2 linked regions of the Ovis aries genome follow. The protein of the gene in region 1 interacts with the protein of each later gene in a pairwise test. Links are inferred from orthologs where the notes say so. Each region holds a gene or a part of one and is shown on either strand. Other genes may lie near its edges.

What was found.
Region 2: the proteins of TK1 (region 1) and tubulin beta-2A chain interact in a two-hybrid assay, tested with the Homo sapiens proteins (2 studies listed by BioGRID and IntAct). The link is inferred for Ovis aries from reciprocal best matches to the Homo sapiens genes TK1 and TUBB2A.

The regions. Positions count from the first base shown.
Region 1 is NC_056064.1:53,319,802-53,323,395, forward strand, and holds the end of TK1 (thymidine kinase, cytosolic), read left to right. Parts: intron 1-1,461; coding exon 1,462-1,551; intron 1,552-1,845; coding exon 1,846-1,965; intron 1,966-2,146; coding exon 2,147-2,350; 3' UTR 2,351-3,086; downstream 3,087-3,594. UniProt on the Homo sapiens protein: Cell-cycle-regulated enzyme of importance in nucleotide metabolism. Catalyzes the first enzymatic step in the salvage pathway converting thymidine into thymidine monophosphate.
Region 2 is NC_056073.1:49,644,186-49,648,126, forward strand, and holds the start of tubulin beta-2A chain, read left to right. Parts: upstream 1-1,134; 5' UTR 1,135-1,206; coding exon 1,207-1,263; intron 1,264-2,701; coding exon 2,702-2,810; intron 2,811-3,126; coding exon 3,127-3,237; intron 3,238-3,917; coding exon 3,918-3,941. UniProt on the Homo sapiens protein: Tubulin is the major constituent of microtubules, a cylinder consisting of laterally associated linear protofilaments composed of alpha- and beta-tubulin heterodimers.

The DNA.
Region 1 (3,594 bases):
CAGTGGGCCTTCTGCGATGTTGCAGACAACGTGGGCAGCTCTGACTGTACCTTGGATCATTCAGGAACCCCTGCTGGGCAGCTCTGACTGTACCTCGATCATTCAGGAACCCCTGCTGCAGGCCCTGGGTTCAGTGTTTGGGCAGAGAGTGGGGTGGCATGTGAACAGGGCGCAAAGTTCAGGTGGAAGAACTGAGCTCTCTGACCGCGGGCATCACTGTAGCAGGCAGGGTGGAGGACCCCTCGCGGTCCCCAAACCCTGGTGTGGAGGGACCATGTCTGGACAGGGAAGGTAAGATGAAGAAGGTGCTCCTCCCAGGGTGGTTCTGCTCTCAACCTTCCCCGTGGATTTCTGGCAGTGTCTAGAAACAGTTTTGTTTGTGACAATGGGGGTCGGGTCGGGGCACTGGCCGACAGGTCCTTACAGGCTAGCGGCTGCATTTCTGTGACCTGTGACAAGTCCTTTAGAGAAAAGGAGGGGCCTCACCTAGAGCCAGGCTGGAGCCTAGGGGTGGGAGGTGCCATTTCCATAGTGCAGGCTCGGCAGACCCTGCAAACCCTGCAAACCCTGCAGAGGCCAGTCAGATCTGGCTTTGGTGAATCCTGCTGGAACTGGTTTGGGTTCTCTAAGCCCTGTCCTGGTCCTTGTCTGGGTGAGCCCTCGGGTTTTGTAACTACGCATCTCCACGAGTAGCTTGGAGAGAGACCCTTTGCCCAAACACTGGAACTCCCCACTTCATCCAACCCACAGACCAGATAGATGATTGACCAGTGAAAGGTCACCAAAGGATTTGTTTAAGTAGTGGCCCCTTGGGCCACTTGAAATGAAATTTGATTTACCAAGTAAGGACTTCCCACGGGTGGTGTGTTGAGCCATCCTGCTCTGTAAGTGGCCAGTGGAACTCCTGCCCCTTCTCCAGGCATCACACGGCACATTATGTTTAAAAGAAGAAAAAAATAAAAGCAAACACACAGAGCCTGCCTCTCAGCCAGATAGCATATGTAATAAATTATTTGCGTGTCCTTAATCCTTAAACATCGCCAGGGGCCTTCCTTGCCTTTTCCTGGGCTCAGGAACATGAAGTCATTGCCAGGGTCACAGCTAATGGGTCCAACGGAGAACCTGGTTCAAGCCTGAGGCAGCGGATCCAAGCTTTGGTCCACTGCAGTGGCAGACGGCCTCTCCACCTGGGTTGCATCACCCTGGTGGCAGTTCCAGGCGCCTAGCCTGGAGCGCAGCCTGGCTCTGCTGTGGAAAGTTGGTGCGATGGGGGAGTGAGTCGGGAAGCTGTGGATGTGCAGGCCGTGTACCAGATGGGAGGGCTGGCGCGGCCTTGTTCTCAGCTCCACGTGGATGCAGGTAGCTGTAGCTCCTGGGCCTGGCAGCGTGTCTGCAGCTCCTGGAAGGGGCTGCCCAGGGCGGAAGCTCACTCCCTCCTCCGCCTCTCACCCTTTCCTCTAGTTCCCTGACATTGTGGAGTTCTGCGAGAACATGGCCAACTCAGGGAAGACCGTCATCGTGGCTGCACTGGATGGGACCTTTCAGAGGAAGGTGAAGTGTCTGGTCCAGGTCTTGGGGTGGGACCGGGGACAGAGGCCCAGGCAGCGCACAGAAATGGACAGCCCAGGGCGCCCTTGATGCCCACACCATGCCTAAGCCCAGGCACTCAGGCCAGCCAGTCCCAGCTCCCTGGGGTGCCCCTGACTCCACCTGCCTAGGGCAGGTGCTCTGGGGAAAGGCAAGGTCCAGGCTTAGTTTCCTGGCTTCAGGGGTGTGAGTCAGGGTCTCCAGGAAAAGCCCACCCGGCGAAATGAGTGTGCACTCCTCTTTCTGTGGATTGTACAGGCTTTTGGGACCATCCTGAACCTGGTGCCCCTGGCAGAGAGCGTGGTCAAGCTGACGGCGGTGTGCATGGAGTGCTTCCGAGAGGCCGCCTACACCAAGAGGCTGGGCGTGGAAAAGGAGGTAGCTGCCCCCTGCCTTCTCCAAGGGATGGGCGGGTGGGGGGCAGGGAGGGGCGCCTACACCTAGAGGCTGGGTATGGAGAAGGAAGTAGCCGCCCCCTGCCTTCTCCCAGAGGCGAGGGGTGGGGCGCTGCGCCCCAGCCCCGCTCAGTCCAGGCGCTTCCTGTCGCACCGCACGTCAGGTCGAGGTCATTGGAGGAGCAGACAAGTACCACTCTGTGTGCCGCCTGTGCTACTTCAAGAAGCCCTCGGGTCAGCCCGCCGTGCTGGACAGCGAAGAAAATAAGGAGAACTGCCCGATGACACTGGGAAAGCCCGCGGAGGCCGCGGGAGTCCGGAAGCTGTTTGCCACTCATCAGATCCGGCAGTGCAGCCAGGCCAACTGAGGCACTGGCCCCTCGCTGGGGCGGGCGCTCACCCGCCACCTGCTCCCCCCACTCGCCCGCTGTCGCCCCCTGGCGGATGCCGGGCCTTCTTGGAGGAGGAAGTGGCGGGGGGCGGGGTTGGGGCGGGTAGAGGTTTCACCACCAGCAGTTGGCCTGCTGCTGCGCCCTTTCCCAGGCCAAGGAGGCGGCTGGTGGTCTGCACTGCACACTTCCCTCCTTGCCTGCCCACCAGCTTTTCTCAGTTCCCATCCCGGCTGCGGGGCGGCTGCGGGGCGATCGCAGTCTCCCCAAGCCGGAGCTGGCCGCCCTATGGGGCGGGGTCTGGCCGCTGCAGCCATCCCTCTTGGGGTGAGGCCAAGCCGCAAGCTGCTGTGACATCGGCGTCGCCGGCTTCTTCCCCGTTTGTGGCGTTTGCTGTTGAGTTTCTGTTCTCACTGGGAAGTCCATATCCCAGCACCTCTGGCTCAGCGTGGGCCTCTTCCCACGCAAAGACTTGGTCCCTCTGCCTGGGATGGGCTCCTGGCTGCCCCTGGGGATGGCTGGACTTCTTATTTCCTTTGGGGCTGAAAGCCCTTCCTGATCTGGCGATCATTTTCTCCGGAATTACAGCTTCTCCCATGTGGGTGACACTCACCCTGCTCTGGGGCTCAGCTCCCAGGGGCTTGTTTTCTAAGGAGGTGGGGGCTGTGTGTATGTGGAACTGATAACTAATATTAAAATCTATTGGTTGGTAAAAGCCTATTTCTCTTTTAACTGTCTGGGATTCCCCGGGTCTCACTATAGACACCTCTGACATGATTCAGGTATGGGGATTTCCTTTCAAATCTTTTTCTAGTACTCCTGACCCCTTAACCACAAATCTTTTTAACTGAGATATGAGCATCAAGTGTTCTAACAGGCATGTTTGCCTGCTCTTCTGCCTGGGAGGGTTTCAGGTCAAGATGAGTGGATGCAGGAGCCTGGGGCTTGGTTGGAAAGATGAAGCCTTGGTCTGTGCTGCCAGCTGGGGCTGTGAGGTCAGGTTTTATTTTGTGAAACAGACACTTGACAGTTCAGGAGCCAGGAAGACCAGCTCTGCCGTGCCTTGGGAAACGGGCTGTGGACAGCTTATGGGAAGGTGAGGGTGCTCCAGGGTGGGGTGGGCCTGGGCTGTGTGTTCCAGATGGGGCCCCAGTTCCCCACCCTTACCCCAGCTTCTCCCTCTCACTGGCTTGTGGCAGGTTACAGAGGTGCAGTACCACGGT
Region 2 (3,941 bases), on another chromosome or scaffold:
ACACAGACAGACAGACACACACACACACAGACACACACAGAGACACTGACAGACACACACACAGAGACACAAACACACAGACACAGACACACAGACACACACAGACACACACACAGAGACACAGACAGACACACACACAGACACAGACACAGACACACACACAGACACACAGACACACACACACGCAGACACACAGACACACACAGAGACACTGACAGACACACACACAGAGACACACACACACAGACACAGACACACAGACACACACACACAGAGACACAGACACACACACACAGACACACACAGAGACACTGACAGACACACACACACAGACACAGACACAGACACACAGACACACACAGACACAGACACAGACACACACACAGACACAGACAGACAGACAGACACACACACACGCAGACACACAGACACACACAGAGACACAGACACACAGACACAGACACACAGACACACACAGACACACACACAGAGACACAGACAGACACACACACAGACACACAGACACACACACAGACACACACACACACACAGACACACAGACACACACACAGACACACACACAGACACACACAGACACACAGACAGACACACACACAGACACAGACAGACAGACACAGACACACAGAGACACAGACACACACACACACAACGTCAAGCTCCATAAGGAGGCCGTGGGGACACACACAGGGAATTTTCCACATTAAGCGGCCTTGACAGGACAGCCGGCGCCCGGCGGCGGCTTTTCCTAGTTCCTCCCCAGCTGAGCACCTTCCTAACGTGGGCGGGGGCGAAAGGGCCCCCCCAGCAGCCCCGCACCGAGACGGCCATCCTCAGCCCCGGCCGGGGACCCCCACTCCCCCCGCCCTGCACCCCCTCCCGGCGTTTACAGCCGCCGTGATCCCCACCCCGGGAAGAAAGAGCCGGAGGCCGACGGCCCGGACAGGCCCGGGGACGGGAACGCGCCCCACCGGGCCCCCGCGCGCGCCCGGCCGCCCGCACCTCGCGCCGCGCCCCGGCTCCCCCTCGCGGTGCCGCAGTCCCCGCGCCGCCCCCGCCGTGACGTCACAGGGGCGGGGCCCCCGCCTTAAAAGGCGCGGCCCGGGCGGCGGCGGCGGGGTCTGCGCCGAGTCCGCCGGTCCGCACTCCGTCCAGGCCCGCGCCTCCACCCGCTCCGCAGCCGGCACCATGCGCGAGATCGTGCACATCCAGGCGGGCCAGTGCGGCAACCAGATCGGCGCCAAGGTGGGCGCGGGGCCGAGGGGCGGCGGGGCCCGAGGGCGGGGGCCCTGGAGCGACAGAGAGGGGGCGGCGGGTCCCCAGGCTGTGCTTGGGGCCGGAGAGGGGCCGGGGAGGGAGCTGACCCCCGGGGAGGGGGCGGCGGGGCCGGAGGGCGGGGGTCCCGGAGGGACGGAGAAGGGGCGGCGGGTCCCCAGAGAGAAGACCAAGGAGGGGGCGGGGAGGGGGCCGCGGGGCCCGAAGTCTGGGGTCCCGGGGGGCCGGGGAGGGGGCCGCGGGTGGGAGCCCCGGAGGGACAGAGAGGGGGCGGCGGGTCCCCAGGGTGTGGGACCAGGAGGGGGCGGGGAGGGTCGGCAGGGCCCGAGGGCGGGGACCCTGGAGGGACAGAGAGGGGGCGGCGGGTCCCCTGGGTGCGCGCCGGGGCCGCAGCGGGGCCGGGTAGGGAGCTGACCCCCGGGAGGAGCGCGGGCGCAGGGCGGGGCGGGGCCGGGCGCCTCACAGCCCGCACTGATGCTCAGGGCTGCGCAGCTGTGGGTCTTTAATTACGGCCCCGGCCTAAGCCCTTGTGAGGGACGCGGTTGGTACCTCCCCGGTAGATTAGCCTCTGAGATTTGGGTGGGGGCTTTGGTCGTGAAGATCCCGTGGCCCCCTGCGGAATTCATTTTGCGGATATTGTCTGCAGTGCGAATGAAAAAACTGCAGTGTCATTGGGTGACAGATGCTCCGGAGGGTTCTCGTGGGTCCGACAGACGCGGTGCACCATCCAGACGGGGTGGCGGGTGACGCCAGAGTCTGACTGCCGTGGGCGCGGCGGCAGGTGGCCGCCCCGGGCCGAGCCGCCGCAGTGGGCGAGGCCCCGCGGGCCGGGTGCCCGGGTGTGGGCGGGCGCCCGCACAAGGACGTGGTCTCTTTCACAACCGCCATATTGCCCACCCGCCCCCTGCCTTTCCTACTGCAGACGCACGCTGCACCCTGCCCCTCACCCCCCCATTCCGCCTCTGCAGTCAGTGACCCAGGAGCCCGGCGGATGCCCGCGCCTAACGCGGCGCTGCTTGGAGGGCCGGTCAGGTTTGCGCCAGGACACGGCGATCTCTGCAGGCAGCCGCAGGGCGGGGTCCACCTGTCCTGGGTCCTGCCAGGACCCGTCCATCCGCTGGGATGCTGACGCCCAGCCCTGCCTGGGGGCCCAGCCTCCAGAGCATCCGCAGCCGTGCCCCCCTCCTCCTCCAGGGCCCCTCCCTGCTTCCCAGTCTATCTCCCTGACATAGCTGATGCTCTGCGCATCCCCGAGCCCCTCCGCAGAAGCTTGCTGGAGGAACAGGGCGGCAGCTGCTGGCCTGTCTGACCACAGTGCCACTGTTCCAAGGACGGGAGAGGAAGGGAAGGGCCGTCGTGCTGACACCTAGGATGCCAGACCATCACGTGCTTCTTTCTCCATCTCCAGTTTTGGGAAGTCATCAGCGATGAGCATGGCATCGACCCCACTGGCAGTTACCATGGAGACAGTGACTTGCAGCTGGAGAGAATCAACGTGTACTACAACGAGGCTGCTGGTGAGGACTGCCGCAGGCTCAGGCCCCTCTCCCGTTCCGCTCTCTGGCAGCCCCAGTGTAGCAGGAACACACACACAACAAAGGCTTCCTGCGTGCATTTAAATGTCAGCTGCTCAGAACACCCTCAGAGCCCCTGAAGTCCCCTGCATTCGGGTCATGACCGGGCAGGCCCTCACCTCCCTTTGTAGAGCAGAAACCTCCTCTAATCTCTTGCTGGAATTTTCTGGGATGAGCTCTGCCTGGAGAGGCACAGAGAGCAAGGCGTTGCCTGACTGCTCTGCAAGCGCCAGGTCTGAGTCCTGCTCTGTCCCTGCAGGTAACAAGTATGTGCCTCGGGCCATCCTGGTGGACCTGGAGCCGGGCACCATGGACTCCGTCAGGTCTGGACCCTTCGGCCAGATCTTCAGGCCCGACAACTTCGTGTTTGGTATGTAGGGGTGATGTGTGGGCCCTGGCTCAGTGGGCCCCTTTCCTCCTGATGCCATGGGGGTCACTGCTGGGTGCCTGGGGGAGGCTGTGTGTCCACAGAGGCCCCGAGTCCCAGCCTCACTGTTCCTGGTCCATGGGCTGTCAGCTCTCTGGCCCCTGTCCACACAGCTCAAAGGCCAGGGTCAGCCTGCAGAGGCTGCTGCAGCCCTCCCACTGCAGAACAGAACAGAGTGAAGGGAAGCTTCCAGCGGCAGTTCACAGGCCGCCGGTCATTTCGGAGGACCCGTGACAACAGGCATCCTCTTCAAGAAGCCAAAGCCAAAGGCGCAGGTTGTGAGCAGAAGCTGAGCCGGCCCTCTGACACTGGGTGCTTCCACCCTGCCAGCTCACAGCAGTTGATTTATCAATAAGAATTTACAGAAGGTTCTAGTTTTAAACCAGTTGGGTTTTGTTAAACTATCTTCTTAATTAATAACATCTTATGAACTAAATCTTTTGTTGTATTAGATCTTCAGTGTTTCTGAGATCACTGATACATAGAAAACTTTTCTGTAGGTAGACAGTCTTTCTGATAAAGAAGGATCTTTCATCTCTAAAGTTAGTTCAGAGCCAGGAAGACAGAGTTTGGAATTCCTTACTGAAGTGTTGGCGTCTGATACTGTCCTTTCCCTCTGGCAGGCCAGAGCGGTGCCGGGAACAACT